Drosophila melanogaster: one gene and its partner. The gene in region 1 interacts genetically with each later gene. Each region holds a gene or a part of one and is shown on either strand. Other genes may lie near its edges.

The links. Genes that interact genetically often act in the same process or in processes that back each other up.
Region 2: of larp (region 1) and spoon, changing one suppresses a phenotype caused by changing the other (phenotypic suppression), as found in Drosophila melanogaster (one study listed by BioGRID).

Annotation. Positions count from the first base shown.
Region 1 is NT_033777.3:28,333,427-28,338,461, forward strand, and holds the start of larp (La related protein), read right to left. Parts: upstream 3,015-5,035; 5' UTR 2,582-3,014; intron 2,116-2,581; exon of another isoform or gene 1,828-2,115; intron 1,282-1,827; 5' UTR 1,093-1,281; coding exon 283-1,092; intron 1-282. Other genes in the region: Gfat2 (Glutamine:fructose-6-phosphate aminotransferase 2), read right to left, coding at 3,867-4,241, 4,444-5,035. UniProt on the Drosophila melanogaster protein: RNA-binding protein that regulates the translation of specific target mRNA species downstream of the mTORC1 complex, in function of growth signals and nutrient availability.
Region 2 is NC_004354.4:5,417,330-5,422,353, forward strand, and holds the start of spoon (spoonbill), read right to left. Parts: upstream 3,008-5,024; 5' UTR 2,910-3,007; coding exon 2,865-2,909; intron 1,768-2,864; exon of another isoform or gene 988-1,767; intron 46-987; coding exon 1-45.

The sequences.
Region 1 (5,035 bases):
ACTTTTGACTAGATTATATTTTAGCAAAGCTTTTCATTTGCATTTTCCAATGTTTTGTTCGAGTAACTAATTTTTGTCAATGCAAATGTACCTAATTCTATTCCGGTGCACTTCTAAATCTTCTGGATTTTTGAATATATTAAGATTTCCAATTAGGAATATCCAAAGAATACCAATCAATGCCTGAACAACTCTAATGAAAACCTATCCTAATGAACCTACCATTCAAGATACCCCAAAATACAATCAATCACTTAAAGATTCAATCATTTGATCACTCACCTTCCATGCGTTGACCTTGGGCGGTGGGGCGGCAATGAATCGCTTGGGCGGCGGAGCTGCTCCAGCGGCGCCTTTCTCGCCCGCCTGCTGATCCCCGTCGGCGGACTTGGCCTCGTTGCCGCTGCTGCCGGCTCCCTCGATGCTGGCACTGGGCGAGGTATCCTTGCGATCCTTGTGTACTTTCGGTCCACCAGGAACGGCGGAGGACACAGCTCCAGCATTGGATCCGGCTGCGCCAGCAGCTCCAGCTGCCGATTTGCGGGGACTACCGCCGCGCGGCGCACGTGGGCGCACTGACTTGCGTTCGGTGTCGGAGGATCCGGGGACGCGGCGGCCACCAGCCTGCTGGGGTTTCTGACCATCGCCACGTCCTCCGGCCGGCTGCTGATCGCGCGGCTTCTCTTTGCGCGCCTTTTTGCGATCGCGGCGGTGATGCGATAGTACCGGCACGAAGTCGTTGTTGTCGTCCAATTCCGATGAGTTCTCGGCGGTGTTATCTCCACCGGAGGCAGCGGCACGCTTCTCACCCGTCTGGGCTAGGCTAACGCTGCCGACGATTGGCGATTCGCCGGCTGCCTCGGCGGCAGCGGCTTCCTCGCTCCACGACTTGAAGCTCTTCAGATTGGGCTGGTTCTCTTTGTTGTCCACGGTGGCTCTGGCGGTGGTGGTGGTGGTGTTGCTGGTGCCGGACTTCTTGGTCTCCAGGTTCTGCACCACATTGGCGTAGGAAGTGGTGGCGCTGCCCGAGGCGGCGACAGTGGCCACAGGAGCGGCACCTCCCGTGGATGGCGTCTCCTCCTTGCTGGACATGCTCCTCAGTTGCGGCTGCTACTCCTGCTGTTTCTTTGACTCCGGTTTCCTCTCCAGAGTGGGCAGCACACTCGCTGCTCCTGCTCCGGCTACGTCAGCGGCTGATCCTCGTTGTCGGGTTGGGGAAACTCTTGTCTGCTTCCTTGCCTGCTCAACGGGATGTGGTGGCTCCAGAGATAGGCTTCCAAACTGAAATGGTTGGCAATAGAAGGATTAGTTTTCACAGGCCTGTTTGGTAGGAACAAGAGGAAAATCCAGGCCAAAGACTACAATTACGTCATTTTATAACTTTTCCACGCAGTGTTACTATAGCTAAGCTTGACTGTTTTGGGTCATTTACATATAGAACTATTCAGGGCAATTCTGCGGTCAATACTAATGCAATTTGTATAGTAATTTGCATTAACTTAAACTTTTAAGTGAGCTAATAAATTCAAGTCAACATCTCGAGTTTTAATGGCCTTATTGGCCGTAGAAAAATAGACTTTTGAAATTAAACTGATACCAATGCAAAGAAAGAGTGGAATGGAAACTAAAACCTCTTTACTAAAACTAAAGAATGGCCATCTAAGCCCAGCTTTACTGTGCCTACTAGGATTTTCCAACAAGATTGCGAGTTGGGCGAACGCGAGGTGTTTGTTGCTCAATTACGGCGATTAATCTCAAGTTCGCCCTTCTGCAATAATATTTACATCTTTACTTAATGCAACTATTACAGCACACACACATACGCACATACACTGCACTTTGAACTTGGGGCTTTCGCAATGGGGATTACTATTCTTGTGGGACTGCAGAAGAGCCTCCCGAGGAGTGCGGTGATTTTTTAGGAACTGGCCATCGGAAAAGCCTCTCCCAGCGGCCGTTTTCTCGATTTTCCTCAGCTGTCACGCTCCTCGGCGAATTGAATTTACTGCCACGGATTTTGCACGATTATATACTGCAGTTTGGGCGAGCGGAGAAAATCCGTTGCGAGGCACGACCAATCGTGAATCGAGAGGTATTATATTATTATGCAGCAGCCACACACAGCAGTGTTCCAAAGAAGAAGAAGAAGTGAGGTTAGATTTTTGCCCCACACAAGAGGAAGAGGAAGCAGCAACACAACGCTAAGCGACCAGGGCTGCCGCAAAGCGAGCTGCCCACTTGCCAAACTGGAGTACAACGTAATGGCATGGCGTTGAACGTAACCGGTAATACGACAGGAAATCGAAGCGAATTAAAGGTGCAAATAAAAGAAACTGCGTTTATAGCTACAATTTGGTTTTATTATACCCTGTGGCCTACCACAATATCCCTGTTTTCGCTTCACCCAATATTATGCAATATCCAATGCACTCGGCTAACGGCCTGCATTGCTGTTAGTGCCGCCCTGGTCGGGCCTTTTAAAACAGCTGATTTCGACTGCAGCTCGCCTCGAATTTCAAAACGATGCACGCGGTCACACACACATACACAAGTTAAGGTTCAGATTGATTTGAATACGCACCAGAGGAGATTGAAATGGAAACAAGAATTGTATTTTATTCCGCTATCTCTCCCACTTCTTGTTTCGTACGTTTCGTATGTTCACTACGCACTTTCCGCTCCGCGTGTTAACACGTACACAAGTGTGTGTGTGCGTGCGTGTGTTGTTATTGTTGCTTTGCTTTTGCTTTTGCGGGTTTCCTTGCACACACACTTTCGCACCACTACGCACCTCGAATCACTGCCTCTCGCTCGCACTCACTCACGCGCTGCTGGGCAGAACGTTACGAATATTATTTATCGGGTTTTTTCGCAATTGCACACACACTCGCTGCGTTATTGGTTGCACCGTACTTGCGCCGTTCACTTGTCTTGTCAATTAACCGCAATTAGTCAATTAATTGGAGCATTATACCGCCGAAACGAAAATCAAAATCGGTTACCAGACATGTGGTTCTACGGGTCCAAAAGAAAAAGAGCAGGGTTGTTGTTCAATTCGTTTGCGTTGCGTTGCGATAGATATCGACCGATGTGATAGCTACGGTTAATAGAGATGTCCCAACCGGCTCGCAACTGATTTAATTTATTTAATGTTGTTTTTAAATATGATTTTGAAATATCTTCCAGAAAGAATTACTTTTCGAGAACAAACTTATTTTTTCCCCATTTACCACTTGATTTGAAATTGAAAATAGGACATTCAAATTTATGCGGCTTATCGATTTCACACTACTTAAGTGCTCGGAATATCATTTATTTTTATCAGAATTTATTTTTATTTAGTTTTATCAGAATTAAATATATATGTAATTTTTCTTTTTCTAAAATTTACAACGTGATTAACATAACGTAAGCAATAACGTGACGTGGCCCTCGTTTTTTAAACATTTGAAACAAATGTTTAATGTCAGATAAGCATTTTTTGTAAAGTGAGGTACATATAGATCTTTGTTTGGTTTTTCCCGTTTTCAAACAAATTTACTGGTTAAACATTTTCCAATCCATTTTTAATTGAAAGCAGCAAAACACTTTTAAAGAAAAACTGGAAATAATTATATTTCAATTGCACATTCACAAAAAGTAGTGGGTCCACAACACAAAGGGTCAGTACAGCTACAAATGTAGGGGTTAAACATATGTGGCTTCAGCCAGAAGGAGCACAAATGGGTTAAGGGTTCGGATTTTGATCCGACAAAATACCAGAAAATTTTAACTTAAGTGCTAGGGTTTGTTTTGTTTTTCTCAGGCAGATACTAAAATGGAATTCTTGAGACGGTGCGAGCCAGTTAGCCAGATAGTTGGGGCGCCTACTCCACGGTCACCGACTTGGCCAGGTTCCTGGGGCAGTCCACGTCGCAGCCGCGGAGCACGGCGATGTGGTAGGACAGCAGCTGGAGCGGAATCACCGTGAGCACGCCCTGCAGGCAGTCCACGGTCCTCGGGATCTGCAGCGAACGCGTGGAGAAGGACATGGTCTCGTTGTCGCCCTCCTCGCAGATTAGGATCGGTCTGCCCTTGCGGGACGTCACCTGCTGCAGTGCATTCATGCACTTGGTGTACACCGGATCCCGCAGCACGATCATCAGCACGGGCATCTCCTTGTCCACCAGGGCCAGTGGTCCGTGTTTCAGTTCTCCAGCCAGGATTCCTTCGCTGTGCATGTACGTCAGCTCCTTGACTTTCTGCAATGAGCAAGTTAATTGATTAAATTCAGCTCATGAAGCGTGGGACAAACATAATAATTAATTTAAGTGCACTTGGCAAATAAACAAGTTAAGTGAATTGTTGACATCGGTTATTTTCCATCATTACGTTCCCATGCATGCATTACGATGCATAAATGAGATTCGATTAAATTATAGCTCAAATTATCAAATGGATTACCAGTGCGCCCTCCAAACAGGTGGCGAAGTTGAAGCCCCTGCCCATAATGAGCAGCGACTTGTGCTCGTACAACTCCTTGGCAAGCTGCTGCACCTGCGAGTTCAGCTTGAGGACAGTCCTAATGTGCTCGTCCAGCTGCGATAGGCCATCGATGATCTCCAAGCGGCGCTGTTGCAGCGAGAGACGATCCTCCGACATGACCAAGGCGAACATAACCAGCGAAATGAACTGGGAGGTGTAGGCCTTCGTGGAGGCCACTCCGATCTCGGGTCCAGCGTTGATGTGGACGCCACAGTGCGACTCGCGGCAGATGCTGCTGCCCACCGTGTTGGTAACGCCCACGATGAGCGCTCCTCGCTGCTTGCAGTATCTGAGCGCCATCAGGGTGTCCGCTGTCTCGCCCGATTGGGAGATGAAGAAGCACACGTCGTCCCGGAAAATGGGCGTGTTTCTGTCCAGAAAATCGGAGGCCAGTTCCACCATAACGGGCAGTTCGGTCAGTTCCTCCAGCAGCTGCCTGGTGGCCACCGCACTGTGGTAGGATGTGCCGCACGCAATTAGCATCAAGCGGCGGCAGCGCTTGATCTCCGGT
Region 2 (5,024 bases), on another chromosome or scaffold:
GAGTAGAGGACGACCGGATACCATTTTCGCTGAATATTGAAAGATCTGAAAGGGAGAAGAAGTTATATTAGTCTGTGCGATTTGAAAATATACTTGTGTACTGTCACACAAATAGGATTATTTTGATCACACTAATACTGAAATAAAAATGAAGTAGCTTTTGTTTGTGCAATATTTGGAAAAGTTATGGTTTGTTGTTTAATTTACAATTGGAAATAATGTGTGAACACCTCTTATCAGGGCAACAATTTACAAATCAAGTAGCGTCGTATATAATTACTTTAAAAAGCTTGTCATGGCTCAAGATAAGAAACGGTACACAATATGCAATTTTGTGTAGAATAACTTTGAAAACAAAGTAAAGAGCTTTGAATTTGCGTTTAAATTTAAGCGAGAATTTCAAATATGAAATCAATTTTGAAGAAAAGTGTGAGATTAAAGGGCTAATTTGTCAACACCATCCACATGAACGTTGTTTTTTAAATAACGACATATGCATGTTGTTATATTTGAAAAAACCTATTTAAAGGTTTCGAATTGGTTTTGCAAGTCACGAGACCCGCCTGCATGTGCTCGTCTGCATAAGTGTGCGTGTGTGTGTGTGTGTTTGCCAGTGTGTTTGATTTTGGTTTTTTCCTTTCTGAACTTTTGCGTATTAATAGCAACAAATAAATACGTAAATATAGACAACAACACAAATGCCGAGAGAGAGAGAGACAACGAGAGAGAACGACGAAAAAGGTGCAAAGCGATTTTTGAATGCCACGCGGAAGGGAAAAACGCAACGGGAGAGAGCGAGAGAGATGGAGCGATAGATCGCATGCAAAGAGCGCGTGCGCAAGAACGCAAAAGAGCGTCGGCGAAGAACGGAAGAGAGGCGCAAGAAGAAACCGTTACGTTTACGTATGGCAATGGCAAATGTTACGAAATCATTACAAAACAAAACTAAAAGTTACGAAAACAACAGCTTTGCCAGAAATTCATCACCTATTCACAAAATAAATGTGTGTTTTTGTATTACCACTAGGATAAAACTGAATTCGTTGCTTCTTCCGGTTTCGTTTGTATTTTATGTCGTTTTATGGCATCAATTCGCTTCGGCTTATTTTTTGGAGTTTCTTCTATGCTTTTGTTTATTTTCTTTCTTTTTTTGTTGGGTTTCGATATGCCGGCGAAATTGTTCGAGAGATTCGAGATATCGACTGCTCGATATATGAAGGGAAACTACTTTGCACGCCTTCTAATTGCCAATTCCTCTGGCTTTTTATTTGTATTATTTTTTTTATTTCGGCACCGATTCTCCGCTCTTCACTCCATCCGCTCTTCCGCATCGGCATACCCCCACCAACCCGCGAAAAAAGAGAGGATGCGTGGTGGCAAGTTTTTATTTAGCGCCCCTTTCCACCCACACACACACTCATCCCACCAAGCGGAAACGAGACAGAAAGCCGGAGAGAAGAAAAGAGAGTGGCGAGCTCATTAGAACAAAGAAATCCGAAAACCGTTAATCAAAATCCATTCAAATGGATTGTAAGACGCTCCTTCGAATTTGGTCAAAATTTCCGGGGCCCGAAAAGTGCAAGTCATGCCGAACAGTAGTTTAAAGCCATGAGATCTTTAGTACTTTTAAGTTACTCACTATAGAACCGATTTACCCACTATACTCCCGCTTCCCCCCATCCACAATATCGTCACTTTGTTAGGGCCCAAAGGTCCTCCTGTTACACAGTGGTCAGATGATAAGCTCAATCGACAAGCAACTGAAACACAAACATACATTGTATGTATGTACATATGTATATGTATATGCATATGTATATGTATAAATGTACATATAGCGACAGATCAACGGTTGATGGGAGCATGCAGGGGGTGGGGGATAAGGGGCCTAGTGGGGTGCTATAAAATGGCCATGGAAGGGCAACTGGCCAGACAGCTGTGGCATTTCCTAATCGTCGAAACCGGGTGACGGGAATTTTTCAGATTACGTTTTATACCCTTTGCTTAGAGTATTAAAACTTGTTGACAAAGCTTGCCACATTTTGCCTAAAATTCTTAATAAATGGATATGCATAAGAGCAGGGAGAAGTGTAGTTTTACACGTATTCGTATCAACTCTTGAATTAAAACGACAAAATGTAAGATAAGGGCACAACAACTTCGCAATGGTCTTCTAGTTTTTGTTATTTTTTTTTTGTATTTCCTACACTGTAAGCTTGTTTATACATGAATATTGATGTGTCTGCGTGTCTCGGCATGCAAACAAACATGTTTAGGCATGTTTTTTGTGTGCCTTTCGGTTATTTGTTATTTTCTGACTTTGAACTTGCACATTGTTGTTGCTCCAAACTCGAATACCAGTGCGGCCAAAAGAAGAGGAAGCCGTCGAACGGGGAGGTGAAGCAACAGCCTAAAAATTTGAAATTCCCCCGAACAAGCGAGAATGAGCGACACAGAGAGGCAAGCCAGAAGAGAGCACCAAAACAACAACAAATCAGGTGCAACAACATTGCCAGCTAGCCGAAAAAGTCCACATTGTTATAATCTTGGCAACGTGGTTTCCGATCATATGGTGGCCAAAAATGGGCGGGGATTGTATAATCGGGGGATATACTACTTTATATGTGTATACATATGTATGTATGCATAGACGCAATGTTTTCTTTGTGGGAGTGGCAGCTCCTTTTCGCCTTTGTTCTCTTTCAGGCGTAAAAAAACCGAACATTAACGGTGAAAGCTGTAACACACACAGACGCACTTATGCTCGGCATGTGTATGCGTGCGATTGTGGGTGTGTGTGTGTGTGAGTGCTGTCATTGTGTAATCGCCGAATTGAACTCCAAATTTTTTCCATAACCACTTACTGTCACTTTGCCGGAACAACAACAACAGCGGCAAGGCAGAGTCATACACTTAACAAAAAGTTGACAAAAAAAAGGTAGTTAAAACGTTGGCTATGGTACCGGGAAAGAGGTGCGAATAGAGCTCAAGACACGGACATTGGAACAAATCCACACAGAACAGAACATGACACCATTTTCCGTCACATCTCTCTGTTTTGGCAAACACACACACGCACTTTTTTTGTACTAGGTTATGTTCCGCGTGCTGCGATTTCTTACCTTTGTGAACCGCTTGGGTAACTTATTTTGCTCACTATCTTTGGGTGCTTTCAAAGCTATCTACTGCACACGCGAGTTGTGTATTGTTTTTGCTTATTTGCTGGCGATTTACTGTCGTTTTCTCAACGCTAAAGTGCTGCACGAATTAAACACGTGTCTACGTTCCACCTTTTACAAATCACAATAACATGGCCGGCGTGCGGCAGTGTTGCCATGCATCCGCAAAACTCTGGCAATCGGAGCTGCCTGCTTAATCACCCGCACTCGCGATGGCCAAATCCTCGAATTACAAGAGCCTTTGTGCACACAAAAAAAAAATATAGAAAAAATCACTTCACAGTTTGAATCGCAGCCCAATTATTTCTAGAAAGCCGAAAAACGTGTGCACGGAGTGCTGGTTATCAAATCGAATGGCAGCACATGCACAAACAGGGCTGCCCACGCTCATCGATAGGTATCGATTGGGGCAATAGGTATTTTCTTAGGCGGCGTTGCCACCGAATGTGCACAAAAGTGTTGCAAATTTCGCGATATTTCGTTACGATATTTTGTGGAGCAATACTTTTGGGCATTTGTAATTTTCCAACGTAGTTCTTGGGAAGTTCTGATTTCATTTTGTCTTACCACAATATGCTTGTTCATGCGAATTTCAGCCTATTTTTTGTCAGTATAGCGCACTATAAATCGATAATTTCGAAATAATATTTATATAGGAGCAGATAGCGACTTCAATATCTCAAAGAAAACAATCACTAAAAATCTTCTTTTTAATTTAACACAGTGATGTGTGTAATTCCAAATGATATTTTTTTAAATTTATAAAGCGGCGCAAAATAAAAAAAAGACCAAGCTAGTTAGTAGTGAATGCATACATAGATTTTTGAAATCCCTTCAATGATTTAATTACCTCCTGTTTGAGCGAAGAACATAAGCAGTGTGGATAATTAATTAAAATAATAATAATAGCAATTATTTGCAGCATAAGTTGAATGATATAAATGAATTATTTGCACATGTTTCGAGACCCTATAGTTTCTGACAACGGTTCAAATTGACCACACGCGAGATTTGCGACGAAAATAAGCAACGGTCACACTTGGTCACGTCGTTCACGTTTTCTATTTACGCATAAACGAATAAAAAGCGCCTAAAAGTGCTATAAAACATATATGTTGTGTGCTCATGTGCTACACATATCGCAGCGAGTAAATTTAAGGTAGTAGGCAGATCTTGTTGTGCATGTGTGTGGGTAATCACAGTTCTAGTTTTGTAATTTTTTATATTTCCTACACTGTAAGCTTGTTTATACATGAATATTGATGTATGTGCGTGTCTCGGCATGCAAGCAAACATGTTTAGGATTGTTTTTTGTGTGCCTTTCGGTTATTTGTCATTTTCTGACTTTGAACTTGCACATTGTTGTTGTTCCAAACTTGAATACCATTGCGGTCAGAAGAAGAGGAAGCCATCGAACAGAGAGGTGAAGCAACAGCCTAAAAATTTGAAATTGACCACACGCGGGAGTTGCGACCCAAATAAGCAACGGTCACACTTGGTCACGTCGTTCACGTTTTCTATTTACGCATATACGAATAAAAAAAAGTGCATAAAAGTGCTGTAAAACATATATGTTGTGTGCTTACGTGCAACGCATATCGCAGCGAGTAAATTCAAGGTACTACTCAGATCCTGTTGTGCATGTGTGTGGGGGTAATCACAGTTCGTGTCTATGTGTGCGTGCGTATGGGCTTGATTGGTTGGGTGCGTGTATGAGTTCGGGGTCCTTTGGATTTTCGAGAAATCATCGCAAAAAGGGTAATACATATATGTATGTATGTTTGGGTGGTCAAACAGCGGGGGCACTCAATTTCGCTGGCTGGCAGCGGGGCGACGAACTTAACC